Drosophila melanogaster: one gene and its partners. The protein of the gene in region 3 interacts with the protein of the main gene of each other region in a pairwise test. Each region holds a gene or a part of one and is shown on either strand. Other genes may lie near its edges.

What was found. Proteins that work in one complex are often made in the same cells at the same time.
Region 1: the proteins of Tspo (region 3) and CG15152 interact in a two-hybrid assay, tested with the Drosophila melanogaster proteins (one large-scale study listed by BioGRID).
Region 2: the proteins of Tspo (region 3) and tank interact in a two-hybrid assay, tested with the Drosophila melanogaster proteins (one large-scale study listed by BioGRID).

Annotation. Positions count from the first base shown.
Region 1 is NT_033779.5:18,110,540-18,115,720, reverse strand, and holds CG15152 (uncharacterized protein), read right to left. Parts: upstream 1,175-5,181; 5' UTR 1,039-1,174; coding exon 700-1,038; 3' UTR 501-699; downstream 1-500. Other genes in the region: CG44476 (uncharacterized protein), read left to right, coding at 2,586-2,590, 2,651-2,879.
Region 2 is NT_033779.5:4,834,835-4,841,926, forward strand, and holds tank (tank), read right to left. Parts: upstream 3,166-7,092; 5' UTR 3,015-3,165; exon of another isoform or gene 3,011-3,014; intron 2,946-3,010; 5' UTR 2,783-2,945; coding exon 2,768-2,782; intron 2,700-2,767; coding exon 2,401-2,699; intron 2,324-2,400; coding exon 1,649-2,323; intron 1,411-1,648; coding exon 906-1,410; 3' UTR 501-905; downstream 1-500. Other genes in the region: CG12194 (uncharacterized protein), read left to right, coding at 4,469-4,676, 4,743-5,270, 5,330-5,807, 5,861-5,979, 6,050-6,149, 6,302-6,359.
Region 3 is NT_033779.5:556,057-563,517, reverse strand, and holds Tspo (translocator protein), read right to left. Parts: upstream 3,907-7,461; 5' UTR 3,820-3,906; coding exon 3,481-3,819; exon of another isoform or gene 3,422-3,480; coding exon 3,203-3,421; 3' UTR 2,995-3,202; downstream 1-2,994. Other genes in the region: uncNacbeta (putative nascent polypeptide-associated complex beta subunit), read left to right, coding at 337-2,724; rempA (reduced mechanoreceptor potential A), read left to right, coding at 4,756-4,902, 4,977-5,575, 5,636-5,796, 5,853-7,461.

The sequences.
Region 1 (5,181 bases), about 18 Mb from region 3:
TATTTTTTCTTTTTCAAGTGAGAGTGGAAATAATTTTAATAATTTTGTGTGCCAAACACCGGCGCAGATGCGGTTTGTGACACTTCCTTTAATAAACAACAGCGTTAAATAATTGAATTTCCACTCTCCATCGCTAAGCCGCTATTAATGAATTTTTAATTAGCGTGCTTAATTTAATTAGTTAATTGATAAGGGAATCTTTTTTATGTACTTTGCTTTGTTAATCTCTGTGATGTATGGAGCTTTAATGTGTCACTACAACATTTGTCCTTTATACATCGACAAACAAAATGCGTATTTATTTTGCAGTTAAATGGCTTGAATTCGTGATTCTTTCGTTCACTTTTGTTTGCTTATCTCACACAAAGCCCTTTATCTGGCCACCTTGTTTCGCTCTCTAGATTACGTTCATTTATGGGCCGTAAATAATTAGTTAATTGAACCGGAATTATCGGAAAACGTTAAAAGCACTGTCTAGTCAAAAATAAAACACATGGATTATGGGATTTCTTTCTTTACTTTGAACTTATATTAAATCATGATTTTTTGTTCTTAGCGCCTAATCAGTAAAGCCGCTTCCTTTTTAGTTAAGCTTTGCATTTGCTAGCAGAACACAGTTCGATTGCCACTGTTTGAAAACAGAACGTAGCTCGTAAGTGCGATAACGCTCTAAATTAGTCACGACACGTACATATTATTTCACCGCACTTTTATAGACTGCACCTCCAGCCAAATCATCACAGCGGCTATAGCCACATATATAGCCACGATCATGAAGATCTGCAGGGGACTGGCGGTGAAAACTTGGACCACCAGCATCACGGTTCCCAGAATAAACACCCCGGACAGGAAGCTGACCATCAGTATGGTGGACCAGTTGCGAAACCAGGCGTGCTTTTTATCCGGCGGCGGTACAAAAATCGGTTTCAGCGGGCTGTACTCCTTCTTATACTGAGTCTCGTATCCGCTGGTAAAGTCAACCTCATCGTGGTACGTCCCCGGACCCGAGGTTCCAGCCTTAGTCTCATCCGTGTCCATTTCAAAACGCGTTCTGCTCTCGACTAAAGAGCGATTCGCTGGTCTCCGGGCATTTTCAGCGGTTTTTTCCTTCCCTCTTTTTCATGATTACCAATCAGTTTGGGGTCTGGGTTATTATCGCCACGGCAGAAGGTGGTAATTGAGGCAACAACAAGGCAAACAGTGAACCGTCAAGAGCTGACAATCTTCTTTTTGTTGCTTGTGACTCAGATAAGATAACTATATAAGTCTGAGAAAACCCGTCAAACGAGAGCGGAGAAGAGTCTCAAAATGACAAGAAAATCACATTGAAGTAAGAGATTGCGAAGAGAGATCAATTTGTTCTACGTTATCAATTTATGCTTACTTACGAATCATCAAACCCTATCAACTTTGATAACAATCTATTAAAAGCGATAAATGTTTTACATTCATATATTAGGCATTTCAGTACTTATATACTTCTGGCACTCTGTTTCCGTCTTGAGAGATTCTCTTTTTTGTCAGTTTCCCCGCTTTCAGCTATCTGAAGCTCCTTCTTCAGTTCCGTCGCCGGCTTTAAAGGCTCCTTCTTGCCTTGCCTAACCAAGCGACATTGAGGGCTTTCTTCGCCGTGTTTCGTTCTTTTCGACAAACAGCAGTGCTTTGCGGATCATTTAGCTTGAACAACCCACAATGCCACCAATTTCAGCGTATTTTTTACCTTTAGAGATCATGTTTTTAATCAAATTTCTTTTTTCGACGGTAAAATGCTTGCCGCGACCCATGACTAGAGAACTTTTGGTCTTCGTTTGGAAAAAATTCAATTAAAACCTTTAATACAACTCCTTTTTCAAAATTTGTCGAAAAAAACCCAAAGCAATCACTCTATTATTCAGCAAATACGTGGTCAGTGCTATTTTTGTTACCGCCTCATTTCGCGCACTTTTGCAGCAAGTGCCCAAAAACAAAAAGAACCTTTACATTGAGAGACCATAAATTTCTTGCTCAGAGAGCCAACATATGGTACTTATTATTCATGCAATCTGACTTTAAAAAATATAAACATTTAATAATTATTTTTAGGAAATGAACTTTCCACCTCCAGTAGTGCTATTATTTTAACCGCAGCTGTATATATTTCCGTCTTGAGAGGTTCTCTTTAATGTTGTCTCTTAGTTTCAGTCAAATTCTCTGAAAGCTTTGGTTTTTACTTACAAATACCCTTTCTAGGGTTCTTATGGTGAGTTTACTCCTCTCAGAAATTTTCTTAAATAATTATTTTATTAGTTCATATTTTTTCTTACACTAATTTTAGTTATTTATCTAATGAATGTACTTGTGATCTCAGACTTACTTTACAGATACCTCTTATATAGTTTTACTTAGGACGGTAGTCCCTTAAAAATTTGTCAATATATTATCATTTTTAATGGTGCAAGCTGCATACGATCCGAAAGATTTTAGTACAGTGTGCCTCCGTTCTTGAATTCGATTCCCTTGAATATTTTTTCATGTTTGCAGATGAGTGCCTTCATCCAGTTTATACAGAGCCTTCAAGCTGAAAAGATCAGAGTGCCTCCAAAAAAATGGGGTATAATACTTATTTGAAAGTATTTCAAAAGCATTAAAGTGATAATTTGTTTATTTAAAGTGAAGAAAAAGATGTCTTATTGGATAGAGATAGTTGCACCCTCAACGGAGTGGACCAAGAACAAACCGATGCGATTCATAACGACTCTAATATGGAAATATTAACTGAGGAAGACTCAAGGCCATATACTTTTTTGCAAAACTTTAATTTCGTTGGCTTATGTGTTCTTTATAATTTTTGCATGCTTTTAATTGTTCTGTCCATATACATCTACAAACGATGGAATTAAAAAAGGGATTTTAAAATGATTTTGAGTACGTATCAAGCGCTAGTTAATTTGATTGCATTATGTATCCTGCTTAGCTGGGCTAACTTGTTTGCATTAGAAGAAAATGAAAGCTGCCTTCTGTCCTAAATGTACTTAAACTTCAGTCCACTTTATTGCCACCAAACAATTTAAGTTGTTGACAAAGTCATCAGCATGCATCAGTCAGCGGTTTTTAAAGAAAGTGCAGAGTCGGCGGAAAAAAATATGAGAAAACTCGCAGTTGCCTCTGTGGCATTTTTAGTTCCTTCAGCGCATCAACAAAACTTGTACATCTTGCTCGATGATCTACTCCGGATCTTGTTTACCGATTGTGCAACAATGTGTTCACTTTTAAATAATATCGAAAATCAGACTGTCTACTGTTTGTGTTTTTTTAATGGGAGATTGTTACTTTTATTTTTCGAAAGGTACACTAAATTCACTTTATCATTTCGATGCATTCGAATTAGGCAATTACTTACCCAGTGTGAACTTTTCATATCAACCCGGCTTATAGATAACCCCCTCGAGTTTGGCCCAGTTCTTCGCACCTTGGCCAGGGCTCATTATTCAAAGCTAAGACTCAGATTAAATGGAAAGCGATAGAATGACTGGCGGAGTGAAAAATGCTAAGAAAGAATCAAAAATTCATGAGGCGGTGCGCGCGAATTATAGCGACTTACTTGATGGTTTAAAGGCGCCCTTGCCGCGGCTATTCAGCTTTTTAGCTTGCCTGTTTTGCCCGCCAACATGCGTTTGTTGTTGCAAACTTTTTCCATCAAAAGTTTCGGTTTTCGATACGCCTGCTGCTGGCAGCTACCGATCCCCATTACCCATTCCTTATTCCCCGCTCCCATTTTCCATCCCCCCATCCATTCTGAAATTCCGCTCCAGCTTCAACTGGGAAAAGTGCCACTTCCGCTTTGCGTCAGTGCACACGGCTGCCGAGCACAAAAGTGTGACTGAAGTGGCTGAAACCAGCTCGATTTTCCCAGCCCATTTCCCGCCCACTTTGGTGGCGGCTGCCGAGGCTCAGGTGTTAATTAACTTGGGGGCCGGCACTAAATTTTAAAACTGCAACTTGCCCAAAATTAATGAGACTGACGTTTGTGCGAGTTACGAGCGAGCTGGAATTATAATTTCGGCATGGCGGACAAACTGCAGAGCAGGCTAACTTTCAAGTGGTCGGCAAGGATGCCCGGAGATCATGAATATTCATCAGGACGAGACGCAGCGTCCAATGTTAAGCCGTAAGCTATTGGTTGTTTCTGTCTGTTATACACGTGCTTAATAACATCTAAGCCTCTGTAAGCTATATTGAATCAGGTAGTTAATACGGATAGTAATATTTATAGAACAATGAACATTTGAAATCCACCCCAGCACCCCGTACTCGCAAAGTAAAGGGATATAGTAGATTCGTTCGCTGCACAGTTTGTAACAGGTAAGTGTCTTATGCATATTCATCAGGATCTTTTCCGTGTCTATCTGTTCGGTTCATCTGTCCGTTTTAGCGCTTTAATTTTGGGAACTGTAAAAGTACGAAAGTCCAGGTAGGCAGGCTTTTCAGAAGATTGCCACGCCCACTCTAACAACCATAATTGTCACGCCCACACACAAAATAATCTCGACAATCGTAGATCCGGCTTATCAGTTAATCTTGTTAGCCGAATGTAAAATGCATATTCAATTTTGGCATATATAATTCCATTTCAAGTGCTTCTCATGTTTGCCTGCGTGTTTGATTAATGAAGCCCCCAAGTTAATTACGCAACTGTTTGAAATTCACTTCCCGTTGATTTCTGTACGCCATCGATCTTTGGCCGTAGAGTGTCAACGGGGAATGTCGGCCAACAACTGGCAAAGGAAGACGTGTACAAGGACGAGTATAGCTGCCAAATGGCAGCAGAAGGCAAGTGAACTGTTGAGCTCAGTGCATGACACTAAATCAATTGGGCCAAGTGTCTGTTGTGACATATTCAACTAATGATGACGGATCTGGCATGCGAGGCACTGACTCACACACATATGGCCACCAGTCGGAGGACGAAGGATTAGTTCTGAGTCCTGGTCTTGTCCTTGTGCGACACCGTAACTAATTTCCCTGCCGGTCACTTGTTGTCTCCACATCAAGTTAAGCGTGCAGGACAACTTGTCACGGACACAGCTCCACTTCTCTGCTGAGTTTACACGCCATGCCGGTGTGCTCATTATTTATTAATTGCATTTAATACTGATGCAAATAAAGCACATCTCGGTAACAATTTTGCCAGGGTCACTGGAT
Region 2 (7,092 bases), 4.3 Mb from region 3:
ACTTTCAAGCAGAACAATGTGTGGACACATGGGTGTTACCTTGGTGATAATCAATTTGGTCGGCAATCGCCCACAACGCCACATCAGCAACACCCCAATCCAAGCGTGAACCCATATCCTGGTTCGATTGTTCGTGCGCTGTAACTCAAGCGTTAATTGGTGGCGGTTAGGGAAGGAGGATTCAGTTCGGGGGGGAGTTATTATGTGGTACTAAGTAGCTGTTATATTGTCAAATCATCATGAAATTATTATTCGAATTGGTGGAGTGGAAACATTGGGAATAGGGTCATAAATTGGGCAAAGCTATTATAGGAACTTCTGATTTAAAAATAGGAAGTGATCCTTATTAAAAACTGTGACAGTCATCAAACGAAACGAAATTAGCAACTATTTTAGATTACTTCTGACTCACACAATCTATAATCTAGTCGAGACAAATCGCACTGATAAGGCTTGGCCAAGCGCTCCCCATTAGGCAAGCAAGCAACAACAATTGACGAAAGTACAAAATTAATTTTATTTTTGATTAATTATACATTTAACGAACTTTACGCCCGACGTAATTTCTAGTGTAGAGCATATCACCCTACGAGCAAAAATTAAAGAGAAAAACGACGACTAAAATAAACATGTAAACGATTATGCAGCAGTTGCGCGAGCCGCATTTCAGATATAGCCACTCTATAGTCTATATATATATAGTCATGCCCATTCCGAATAGGGCGTTGTGTTGGTGGTGGTGGTGGCGGTGGCGTTGTCGACTAGCGAACATTGTCATTATGCGTAGACCTAGAGTTATCTTTAACTTACACAGTTCACGATGGTTAGATAGGTAGATGATACGTAGATTACACAGATCGAATTATATATAGCTAAAGCCTACGTTGCGTGTATAAGCATAAATCTCACAAGTTCCAGTCATCGGGCCCCGACTCCTGGCGTATCACGGGCGGGGTTAGCGGAGCTCTCGGTGCACCGGGCACAGGAGTGGGCACCAAAGGCGCAGCTCCGCGCAGCGAGCTGCCGTAATAAGGCGGCGGCCGATGGCTATTAATGCTCGGCGCATTGGAGCTGTGCGTTGACGAGGCGGAGGAATCGCGCACCCGACCCGCATCGAAAACGGGCGCCTGGGCGTAGCGATGCGGATGTCCCAGCTGCGGTGTCTGTGATCGCGAATGCGAGCGATCACGTCGCATTAGCTGCTCCTGTTGCAGCCGTTGCTGCTGCACATATTGCTGCTTGCGCTGCTTGAGCAGTTGCTCGTCCCGCTGGAGCAAACGCTGTCGCTGCTGCAGCTCATACTGCTGCCGCTGCATGGCACTCAGTCGATTGGCCTTGCTCCACGGATTGCCGCCGAAGCAGAGGTTCGATATGAAGACCACCGGCGAGAAGAGACGCAGGGAGACCTCACTGGGTGGATGTCAAATATTTAGTTATTTATATTTATAGATATAGTACAGAAGAGCTTCTCTAAATCGATACGTGCTGGTCACGAACAAAGGAAAAACGAATTACATTACATTACATGAAGACGTCCAACTAAAATTGCGTGATAGTTTGAACATGAACTACATCACTTTCCAGTTTACATTTTCCAGAAGTTCGATTTAGTGAAGCTGGACTGTGTTACCAAACCAAAAACACTTACGTGGTGTCCACAATGGGTTTTGCCTCATTGCCGCTGAGTATGAACAGGGGAAAAAAGATGGAGAAGATGCAGCTACTGACGATCACCGAGCTGGACAGATTTGTCAGCACGGTGAGCGGTATTCCGAAGCCGAAGAAATAGGGCCAGTTCTTTTCAATGTACGTGAGTCGTCTATGTAGCTCCCAGCCCATGTTGAACCACTTGTACTCGAAGGAGTACAGTGAGTAGAGCAGGCACAGATGCACGAAGCACAGCGAGGAGCCCACATATTTCACAGGCACTAGGTTAACCAGCATGCTCTGTACCAGGAACAGCATTTGCACCACCATGCTGAATAGGAAGTCGGCCACCAGTTTGCTAATTCCAGGGATTAGCTGCGGGCGACCCTTTCTCACGCGATACGCGGCATTGGCTATGTCCGCGAACCACAGAGAGCTCACAATCTTGGAGAGCATGAATATGGGCAGCACCCACATCATGCCGAAGAGCAGGGACAGTATGGGATGCAGCCAGCCCCAAACCACCGGCAGGGTCTCGGAATGGGCTCCATAGAAGATGGTAAGGCAGAATTTGAGCGTGGGCAGCAGAGCGTTCTCGAACAGGACGATGCTCAGCCAGGTGAAACCGCCATTGAGCATGCAGCACTTGAACAGCTTCTTGGCGATCTTCTTCTCCCTGTGTCGCCGGATTAAAAATCAAGTGCGCAGTTTAAAATTACATGTACGTGGAATGAGTCTTTGTGTAACACATACCCCTGCGGGTGTTGATCCTGGGCGGCTGGCTTCTTGCCCAGGATCTTCTCTAGCGTCCGCTCGTCGGCGTTCTCCTCCGCCTGCTTGGCATACTCCTCCCGAATCATGGCAGCCGCGGAACTGGGCACTGGTGACGGTGATCTCCTGGCGCGTTCGTAACGATCCTTGTCGGTGCGACGCAGCTGTTGGCGGTGCTCCTGCTCGGCATTCTGGCGGTTCACCTCGTCGTCGATGTGCAGGACCAGTGTCATGCCACGTATGCTGTCCCACAGGCCGTACAGAATGCCCAGGGTGATGTTCTGTGGTTGTACAACGCATTTAGTTGGGCCATTGTCTGTGTGCTCCAAAAGGGCAGTCGCAAACTCACCTTTATCGCCGCCATCTCGGGTGGACAGACCTTAGTTCCTGATCGGGGGCATTACGAAATGGACATGCAAGCATACGAAACGTGTTTAGCTGCTCGGGAGCGTATCAAAATGTGGCAGTGGGTCTTTGAATAAATTTGCGTTGTGCGAGACGAAGACAACATCGTTGGCGCCTTTACACTGCACAAAATAGCGTGCGCCCGCACATTTGGTTGGCTTTGTACCATTTTGAAACTTTAACTTACATACTTATCGCTGTGCCAGTGCTTGCTGATCGAATAGTGAGTGTGCAGAGGACCTAATAATCATTGAACTTTGTGCTGAATTTAATAATAAAATAGTTGTTTTGCTTGGTGTAGGAACACACGGTTGCCACCTGATGCGCTGCGGTCGTTTTGCAGCACTGGTCAGTGATGCACAGGCGGGCAGTGTTGTTAACTATCGATAGTTATGAATTTTACCGTTATTATAAGACAATAAATTGTTGTGGTTTTCAATGGTGACGAATAAATAGTTTTATTTTTCTGCATCTCATACGAATGTGTTTGGTAATCCATTTGATATTCTTAATAAATCGAAGCAAACTTTTTTAGCAAGTGCTTATGTTTCGCAAATCCGTTAAAACGTAATGATAGTAACGGTTTTTCGTAAGGATATTCCCAAGGTAATCGATATATCGATATCAAGAGCTCAATGCCCACTTCCATTTCTACAGCTACAGGTAGGGAAACCAGGTAATACCGACCATTCTTCTCCCGACAGGGGACAGAAATAAACCGTAAGTCCACGACTTGTTGAACATATAGTAGGCGTGATAGGACTTTCTCATCACAATACATTGTTGATAATCAACATAAATACATCAAGAAATATTAAGTAAAGTTTTCCTGGATCGTAAGCCCGCCACAATCGCAATTCGAAAATATCGAATGTAAATAATGCAAAATAAGACCGTGGACTAGTGATTAATTAGTGTGTGACTTCGTTTGTTGACTGCGATAACGGGGCATTTGCTTGTTAATCCCTTTTTTTTGTTGTTGATATACGGCATTTACATATGCCTATTTATTGACGTGGGTGTGTGTACATATCGAATTTATACCACAGTAGAGCTGCTTTCAATACGCAAATAGCGTAGTAAAGCCTTAAATCAGGTGTCAACTAAATGTTATGCGCATGCAAGCGCTTAATTGATTACCCATTAACCGTTAGTCAGCCAACGGACAACGAGATCTTTCATGTTTACCTAGCAAGCACACACTAACGCACACCCACCCGTGACATATATGTACATACCTGCATCTGCATGTGTATGAGTGTGTGTGTGTGAGAGAGGGCGTAAAATGTTTTGTGTGTGTGGGAATGCAATTTTCAATCTTGGCTTTTTTGCAGATTAACCGAAACACCCCCCATTCCAACCTTTCCAATTTCCATCATCTCTGTGTGCGGGAATAATCAATACTGCACAAATACTGAGGCAACAGCAGCAACAACAACAACACGGAATTATGGTGTGGTCTAGTGATAAGCAGCAACAGTAGGGCCACAGCCCGCCCCCAACCCCCCGCCTACCGCCCACCACCCACCACCGGTCGAGGAACAGGAATTCCGGAAAAGAGGAGCAGCCACAAATAGCAATTACCATCGCACAACTCAAATTTCCCGTCAACCCTCCATCATTCTGTCAACGAAAAGTGGCAATAATGTCACGCGAGGAGCGCAAACCCATCGTTAGCTCGTCGAGCAGCAGCACCTGCAGCAGCAGCGATGACGAAGTGCATCCTGTGGTGCGGCGACGCAGCACTCGGGACACAGAGCTAGCCGGTCACCAGAAGGATGCCGGATGCTGTGATCCGACGAGCACGCCACATCGCTTCCTCGCCCTGCTCTTTATGTGCCTCTTGGGTTTTGGTAAGAACGTGAATTCCTTTGCAACAACACTTGGGACCATACCTACTTAAATAACTCCTTTAATAGGTTCCTATTTTTGCTACGATAATCCCGGCGCACTGCAGGACGTTTTCCAAAAGGAACTGCAACTCAGCTCCACCGAGTTCACGCTGATTTACTCCATCTACTCGTGGCCAAATATTGTGCTCTGCTTTGTGGGCGGCTTCCTCATCGACCGGGTGTTTGGCATCCGCCTGGGCACCATTATCTACATGCTGATCGTGCTCGTTGGCCAGTTGATCTTCGCCACCGGCGGAGTCCTGGGCCACTTTTGGTTGATGATCGTGGGACGCTTTGTTTTCGGCATCGGGGCTGAGTCGCTGGCTGTGGCCCAAAACAGCTATGCGGTGCTATGGTTCAAGGGCAAGGAGATTAACATGGTCTTTGGACTGCAGTTGTCGGTAGCCCGTTTCGGCAGCACCGTCAACTTTTGGATTATGCAACCACTATATGGATACGTTTCGAAATCCTATTCCGGCTACAAGGGTCTGGGCGTGGCCCTGTTCCTGGCCTCCTCAACGTGCGTCATGTCCCTGGTTTGCACCTTGATTCTAGGTAGGATTACTTGTGTATTTAAATATCAGTTTATATTATTCGATTTCACGTTTACTTAGGTTGGATGGACAAGCGCGCGGAGAGAATCCTTAAGCGAAATAACAATCCTGGTGGAGAATTGGCCAAACTAAGCGATATAGTCACCTTCAAGCTGGACTTCTGGATGGTGTCCGTGGTATGTGTGGCCTACTACGTTGCCATCTTTCCTTTCGTGGCTCTTGGCCAGGCCTTCTTCGTCAGCAATTTCCACATGACGCCGGATGAGGCGAACACAGTAAACTCGATTGTCTACCTGATCTCTGCTATAGCATCGCCACTGTTTGGATTTGTGATTGACAAGGTCGGAAGGAATGTGACCTGGGTGTTCTGTGCCACCATCTCCACGCTGCTAGCTCACTTCCTGCTGACCTTCACCCATTTGGATCCGTACATCGGGATGAGCATAATGGGACTGTCCTATTCCATGTTGGCAGCCAGTCTGTGGCCCCTGGTTTCATTGATTGTGCCCGAATATCAACTGGGCACTGCATATGGCTTGTAAGATCATTAATCTGTTCAAGCTGTTCAATCCTTAATCGTTCCCTTTGCAGCTGTCAGTCTGTGCAGAATCTGGGACTAGCGGTGGTGACCATTGCAGCGGGCATCATTGTGGACAGCAGCGGCGGCAGTCACTTCTGGCTGCAGGTATTCTTCATGTCCTTCCTGCTGGGTAAGAGTCTAATCTGCTCATATGTATGCGCTGTGTGTTGAATACGAGTTAATTCCATCGCATTTTCCAGTCTCCCTGCTGGCCACCTGTGCGATTTGGGCCTACAACCGCAAGCACCAGGGCAACTTGAACATGTCACCTGCCCAGCGGGCCACATACCACACCTCGATGTACGTGAATATTGAGTCGAGTTGAGCATGCTATTGATGTCTTGCTGTTGTGTTCTAATCCCATATCCGATGATGACACTTCTCCACTTCAGCCCCTGACTAATTAACGTTCTTTTTCTAAATGTATATTTGCTTTGTGTACATGCCAAAAGCGCGATGCAGTGCCGCCACATGAACAGGCGGCCTTTATTGGGCAACTATGTGCAATAGATCGATTCTGTTTGTTACTAACCAATAACCAATTGCGATGCTAATGCCATTTCCACTACACTTGACTTGTTATGCAACTCGGAGCACATTCTGCTAGCCGCACAATCGACGTGGTCATTCGATCTATTTTACTCCTCCTAGCCAACGTTCTATGATGATACATATCAAACTTTAAACTATTGTTATATTTATGTTCCATTGTGTGTGATAAATAAATTTATGTAAATGTACATTAACCAAATTAAATAACCAAAGATTTGGAGTTTTGGGCGAAAGAAGGTGTGTTTTGATCTTGATTCCATTTTATTTCCTTGCAAATATCTTTTTGAAGAATATATGATTTGTATTTGTACAAAATAAATAAAATAAATTAACTAAAGCATAAACAGAAATTCAAAGAATTTGGTGTGAATTTAACAAAATAGTATACAAATTTCTATGATGCATAGACTAGAGAAAACAAAATACAATTTCAAATCTTGAAAAGTGACATTCAGCGCAAGTCACAAGAGAATTACAAAATAATAATAATAAAACACATAGATGAATTAATACATTTCCATTTCCGTTTTGAGAATTATTTGGTTGGGAGAAACAAAGTTTGCGTAAGGATGAGAAACAAATTTCCAACTAAAAACGTGTCATTCTCTATTGAGTTACTAAAAATGCATTCCATTTCATTTGGGCCATATTATCAAGTTAGGGCCGCTTCGAGGCTTTTCATTTAGCTGCA
Region 3 (7,461 bases):
TCGGCATCGGCATAGGAAATGTGCAGCTATTTTTAAGCACTGGGGCGACATTTTTCTTTTTTTCTGCCCGACTCGCCTGCGAAAACACACAAAAATCTGCGAAAAAAAGAGCAGGCCGCACGATATTAATAAAAGCAGCGCTGCTGCTGCGATGGATTGGTTGGATTCGGGTGGTTCCGCTGGCGGTGGGCCTGTGCACTGCATTCGTGATTTCGGCCGTGGAGTTGCACATCGTGTGTCTGTCTGTGGCTGGCCAAAAGTGAGGTGACTTCTTGGCCATTTTATGTAATATATATGCGGTAGATAACGAGTCCTTCTCCCCGACCAGATTTCAACATGAATGTGGAGAAGCTGAAGCGTCTGCAGGCCCAGGTCCGGATCGGCGGCAAGGGCACGCCCCGTCGAAAGAAGAAGGTCATGCACCAGACGGCGGCCACCGATGACAAGAAGCTGCAGAGCTCGCTCAAGAAGCTGTCGGTGAGCACCATCCCGGGCATCGAGGAGGTTAACATAATCAAGGACGATCTGACCGTGATTCACTTCAACAACCCCAAGGCGCAGGCCTCCCTTTCGGCCAACACCTTTGCGGTCACGGGTCACGGCGAGACCCGGAAGGTGGTCGAAATGCTGCCCGATATCCTGCCCCAGCTGGGCCAGGAGACAGTCGTCCAGCTGCGGATGTATGCCAATGCCATGAACAGTCAAAAGGGGGCGCCGGGAAGCGGAGATGGACCTCTCCCAGCGGAGGAGGATGACGATGTTCCCTTGCTCGTTGGCGATTTCGATGAGGTGGCCAAGGTGGAGGCGACCAAGCAGCCAGTACATGAGCCAAAGGAATCTGCGGAGATCAAAGCCAAGGATAAGCAGCAGCAGCAGCCTAAGAAGGAACAGAAGCAGTCAGCGAAAGTGCCGGAGACAACCAATCCCAGCGAGAATCCCAAAGAGAAACAGGAAAATAAGAAGGGTCAGGCCAAAAATAACAAGAAGGGTGATCCACAGACCAACAAGGACAAGACCAATAAAAGCAAGGATCAGGCCAAGGGTCAGCCTGCTCCCCAAGCCAACAAGGAAACGACACAGGCTGCACAAGCTCTCAAACAGAATCCTTCGAAGCCCGCTGTACAGCAGAAAAAGGATCAAGTGCTCGCAGTTGACCAGAAGATTGAAGCCAACGGTGCGATTCAAAAGGCGCAACAACCAAAGCCCGCCGAGACCAAGTCCACTGACCAGAAAGTTGAACCCAAATCGGCAGAGAAGCAGGTGGACAAGGCCAAACCCATTGAACAGACCAAAACCAAAGAGTCCAAGGTGGAACATCCGAAACCAGCTCAAAAGCAATTGGATCAGAACACTCAGGCCAAACCCACGGCGGAGAGAAGTGAAGCTAAGCCAGTGGTACCGACACCAGAACCCCAGAAGTCCGCTCCTCCTGCTGTCCAGACTCTCGCCCAGATTGTGGCTTTGCCTGCGGAGAAACCAGCCAATGAAGCTGTTGCCGCTCCCAAAGCTGAGGAGCAGAAAAAAGACTCGTCTGGTCCAGCTAAGGTAGAGCCAGCGATTACTCCATCGGCACCACAACCAGTCACCACTGCTGAGCCACCCAAGAGTGCTCTCAAACAGGACTCACCTCCTAAGAGCGCTCCCAAGCAGGGATCCCCACCGAAGAATGTTCCAAAACAGGAATCACCACCACAGAGTGCTCCCAAACAGGATTCCCCACCAAAGGGTGCTCCCAAACAGGATTCCCCACCAAAGGGTGCTCCCAAACAGGATTCACCACCAAAGGGTGCCCCTAAACAGGATTCAGCGCCACAACAAAAGACTCCACCACCAGTTAAACAGGAAGTAGCACCAGCTAAGCAGGATGAACCACCAGCTAAGCAGGATGCACCACCAGCTAAACAGGATGCACCAGTTCCAGTTCCAGAAGTTATCAAAACGCTAGCACCGGAAGTCCCCAACGTTTCTCAGGCACCTGCACAACCTCAGGGTCAGGCTGCTCTCGCTTCTGAAAAACCAGCGGATGCGCCAAAGGCCATTGAGGAACCGAAGGCTGCACCCAAGAAGGAATCACCACCACCCACAAAACCAGTGACGGCAACAGTTCCGGTAGCACCTGCCACTCCTGCTGAGGCGCCATCTCCTCTGGCTCCCTCCACTCCGCCATCGACTCCCACCTCGGTGCCGCCCTCTGCAGCGACAGTGACTCCTCCATCTCCCGCCACGGTGACTCCTCCGTCGCCTGCTGTAGTTACTCCGCCTCAGAAACAGTCGGCGGCTCCCCAAGCGGGAATCAAGAAGCAGGAGGCAGGAACGAAGACAAAACAGCAGCAGCCAGCCAACAAGCCCCAACAACCGCAAAAGCAGCCACCAGGAGGAGCAGGAGGATCAGCTGGGCCAGGAGGGAACAAGGGCGTGCAGAAACAGCCGAACCCCAATGCCAAGCCAGCAGTTGCTCCAAAGCCGGCCCAGGCCACTCCAAAACCCGCTGCTGCTTCTCCAAAAGCATCCCCCAACCAGACGAATCCACAACAACAGCAGGGAAAAGCAGCTAACAAAGCGTCTCCTCCAAAGCAAACTGGACCAACTGGGGGGCAGCAGAAGTCGGCGGCGAACGCCTCGAAGGCCACAGCCTCCCCGAAATCGGCTGCATCCCCAAAAGCCACCTCCCCGAAGGCCGGAACTCCTACCAATCCTGCTTCCGCCTCTGGGGGTCCCAACTGATCCTCCTTCAGTCTATTTTCTAATCGGCGCCCTTGCATTTCAAACTCACTCGCATTTTCAGAGCCCATTTTCGCCTTCGTTAATCTCTGATGAACCCGGGTACTAACCGTTTTTTGATTATTTGTGGCCTTTACATTTTTGAATAAAATTATGATTTAACAAAGACTGAAGTGAATCGAGAAATTCTTTCTCAATATCTTTGGTTATTCCATTGCAATGTCACAACAAATTGTAGCCTATTAATCGTTCTCGAGAATAGCATTGAAAATTACGATTCTTTAATTTATTATTAACACATAACACATAGGGAATTTTTGAACGTGCAGCAGCATATGATACTTTGAATTTAGCGCCCCATTGGAGGCACTGCTTATCGATATTTTATCCAACTTTGCCCAGCCCTGGTTCGATAGGTCGGAAAGCCCTGCAATTTGCATGAAAGACACCCAAAATTACTTGTTTTTCGTTTATCCTGGGCTTAACTCGACTTAGCGTGGCTGCTAGAGGGCTTCTCCTCGTCCTTGGGCGCCTGCTCCTTCTCCGGGTTCAGCTTCCAGATGGCGTAGTTCAGAGCCGTCGCGAATCCCAGCCAGGCGACGTAGGGTACGAAGAGCAATCCAGCGGTCTTGTTCACTCGGTAGAACAGAACGCCGCAGGCGGACGCGGCGGCCGTGAGTGCAACTATGTCAATAAGGCCCTGGTGGATGAAGCGGATTAGACATAACACCTGGGCTTGGTGATATCAGCAGTACTCACGCCCTTGATGTTGTGCTGCCCGAAGAAAATGGGCGTCCACGCCCAGTTCAAGGCCAGCTGGGTGCCGTACGCGATCAGGGGCAGTTTGGCCGCCTCGCCGGCGAAGCCTCCGCCATCACGCCACACCAGGTAGGAGCCGTAGCCCATTCCCGCGTACAAGGAGATCCACATCGGCGCAAAGACCGAGTTGGGCGGCTTGAAGGACGGGAACTTAAGGTTGGCGTACCAGCTCTGGAGATGCTGCCTGGTCAGCCGCCCGTTATAGATGCCGCCCAGATTGGGCAGAATCACGGCCCCGGCGATGCGGAGAATGTTTCCAGCACACGGACGATCAGCCATTTTCAGAGTTCGCACTGCAAATGAGGCGCAGTAGTGGCGAACCTTCTGGTTTCACTGTTTTGTTTGCCGGTGATTTCATTCGAATGCACGAGTATTGCGAGTTAACGGGGCGAATACGCGACGGATGATTGTGTGGGTAAGCTCCAGCGATGCCAATTTGGCTAGATTTAAACTAGCTAAAGTATGTGGAATGCAACTTGAAATCAAAGACGCTAGAATTAATTAATAGAATCGCATGGTTATTTAGAGCTGTGAACATTTGATTTCTGCCATGAAGGAATTCTCATGTTTTTCTTTAACATGCTATCTGATTAATAGGGATTTAATATTTATCTGGAATTTTGGCAAAGCTGCAAAGTCATTGCTAAGCCGTTAATAGCTGGTTGTCACATGTGCAGGGGAGGAGCATAATGCTTATCAATAGATTCCAAAATGATGTAATGAATGAGTAATGTCGTCGATCTATGGAAGTAATTATTATAATTATATCTACCCATTCGTATTTATTTAAAATTATCTTCGCTGCTGGGTGTCGGAATCACCCTGTGGGTAGGCAGATTTAACAAAACCCGTTAAGTTTTGAAAATAGAAATAGAACTGTATTGTTGGGAAGTACCATATTAAATTCCCTGGAAAAGTTTTGTTTAGCTTGTTTGTTTGTTTTACCCCATGACAAATCGTGCGATCAAGTGGTGAATGATAACTTGAGAACTCATAAACCAAAGAGTTATTTGTCGGTAAAGTGAATTAATGGTGAAATAAAACTATTGTGCTTATTTGCTCTTTGCAATATCCAATAACCTGGATCAAGTTGGTATCTCAATTAATCAATTGCTTAGGAGCAACCATGACAACCGTTGCTAGGCAAACACATTGTTACTGTGTTTTGGCTCCTGCCAAAACAAATTCATCCACTAAAGGTGGAAAACCGGTGTGATGACTCTCTACTTTGACACGAAAATCGAGTTCTTGGACTCGGATGCAGTGAGCACCATCAGCAGCTGGCATCCCAGTGAGCCGCTCTTCGCAGTGGCCTCTTTTAGTCCCGAAAGAGGCGGTTCAGTGACCATCTTTGCAGATACCGTCAGTATTAATCGCTTTGGTCGCAGACCCTGCCAAAAATCGGAATGTATATAATCTATATAATCAAATTGCAGGGTGAGCCCCAGCGAGATGTAACTTATCCGGTGCACGCCACTTCGCAAGCGACGGCACTATGCTGGCATCCGGAGAAGGCGCTCCTGGCCAGCGGTTGGGAGCACGGCGACATCCATGTGTGGTTCGCTGGTCACAGGGAGTTTGCCAGCGTGAACGCACCGCACAAGGCGGCCATCGTCCTGCTGCAGTTCAGCGAGCAGGGCGGGCGGATGGTCACGGCGGATGCCATGGGCTTGGTCACCGGATGGCGCTGCGATGGCCAGTACCAGTTCCTAACCATGTTCTCCCACGACCTGCGGGAGGTGTTGCTGCTGATCTGCTTCCGCCTTACGGTGGAGAGTGAGGTGCGCGAGGAGATGGCCAATCTAGCCAAGGCTGCTGTGGCAGGCGATGAGAACGCCCTGGACACCCTAACCAATTGGAGACCGCGCACAGCAGCCCGGAGCATGACCCATTCGGGGGTGCGGGACAACCACTGCTTCTACGCTTGCACCCAAGGAGGAGTGGTGTACTACATCAACCAAGGAGGCGCCTGTGTCGAGGTGATGAAGTGCGGATCACTGCCTCCCATTGTCCAGATGTTGTGGCACCCAAGAAAGTAAAGAGCTGTTGAGATCGAAAGGTTCTTTACCTGAACCCTAACATTATTCCATTCTAGGGACGCCGTCATTTGCCTGATGGAGGACTTGACAGTCACCTTGTTTTTGGTTGAATCCACAGGCATCCTTACGGAGCTGGATCGTGTTAAAATGAGCGGACGTGGAGGCGGTCGGCAGGGAGGCATCGCGTGGTCTGGAAACTCTTTAGCCATCATAACAGGTAGGATATATTATTCGATTTTTCACTTCTGTGCTAAATTTAAGACTAATTTTCAGGCGATTTTTTCGTCCGCATTTGGGACATCGAGAGAAGCGACAATTACCTATTGAAAATGGACCTACCCAGTGGCAACCAGCCAGGCTCATCTATGACCACTTTAAGTAATGGCACCATGTCCTCGTCCAACCAATTCTTTAGCCATGACAGCAGCGAAAGCAGCGGCGTTCTCCGCAAGACACCAAAGTACGGCCAGCTGAACGGCGAAATGTTCACCTGCTTGGCATATAGCTCTACGGGACAGACTCTGTGTGCAGGAACGTCCCAGGGGAATGTCTATACTTGGAAGAGGAGCGGCAGCAGGCTAGTCGGTGCCCCCGAAGATGCCTGGCAGCTGACGAACATATCTTCCGTGCGAGGAGCCATCCGCAGCTGCGAATGGGGATACAATGAGCTAGCCAAGCCCTGCATGCTGGTCAACTGCCTTTCCAATGTTTTCATGCTGAAGGAGCAACCTCTGCTCGCCGTTCATACCCGCGAACTGTGGGCAGTTCAGAGGTCAGCCAAATCAGTGCAATTGACGCACTGCAGCGGTCGGGAGGCCATTGTTCAGTCCGAGTTCGCCGTGACTGCCATGGCTTTGAGTGAACTGAGCTTGGTGATGAGTAATGGCAGGAGCATATCATCCTATAGCCTGCAGAAAGTGGAGAAGAGCTTGGATGAGTTCGAGGAGATCCTGCAGACAGTGGAGGGCACAACACCGACGACGGAATCTACCACCACTCCGTTGAGTCTGAAACTCCTGCAGACCTTTGCTGCCGAATGCTTAGCCTTGAATCTGTGCAACCAGAACATATTTTGCTTGGGTAGCAGTGACGTTTTTGTTTACTCCGTGGGAGGGGTAGTGCTTCACCGCATTCAAGCAAGCGATATTGAAGGAAAGATCATTGGAATGGATTTGAGTGGCTGCTATCTCTCGGTATTTACCATGAATGGATATGTGAAAGCTTACGACGTTTCTAGGCACGATCCCAAGCTGCTCTTTCCCAGCAAATCGGGTCACGACATTTTCGATGACTTCGGGGAGTTCATTCTGGTCAAGTGCAATAGCTCCGGCAGCCACTTGGCCATGGTGATAGCCAGTAGCAATTTCACCCCTATATCCACTTTATTCTGCTGGGACTTTGAGCGCAGCAATCTTCTTGAATATGGACTACTGGAGCCAGAAACCAACGCCAAGAAGGAGTCTTCGACAAGTTTGCCGGTTCGGATTTTCTGGGATGCAGAGGAACCTCGTCTCTTGGCTACAGAAGTCAAGTCCATGATTCAGAAGACCCTGCCCCAGAAGAACTCCTTGCAACCCAGTCATTTTGTGCAGTCAAAAGTCGTCCTTTTGTTTTATTCCGAGAAAGGCTGCCTGAATGTCCTCGAAACACAATCCATGAGCCCAGGCTGCCAGCTACTGAACCTTTGTGTACCCAACGTGATCCGGCTGAAGATCAATACGATGGAGGAGCAACCTCTGCAAGACTTCGTCGACCTACAGCAGTGCAATCCAGTTACGAGGAAGCAAGTCCTGAATTTCAGTCTCTACGTCGCAGAGGGAAATATGGATATGGCTTATCGCAGCATTCGCTCGATTCAATCGAAAGTGATCTGGACAAATCT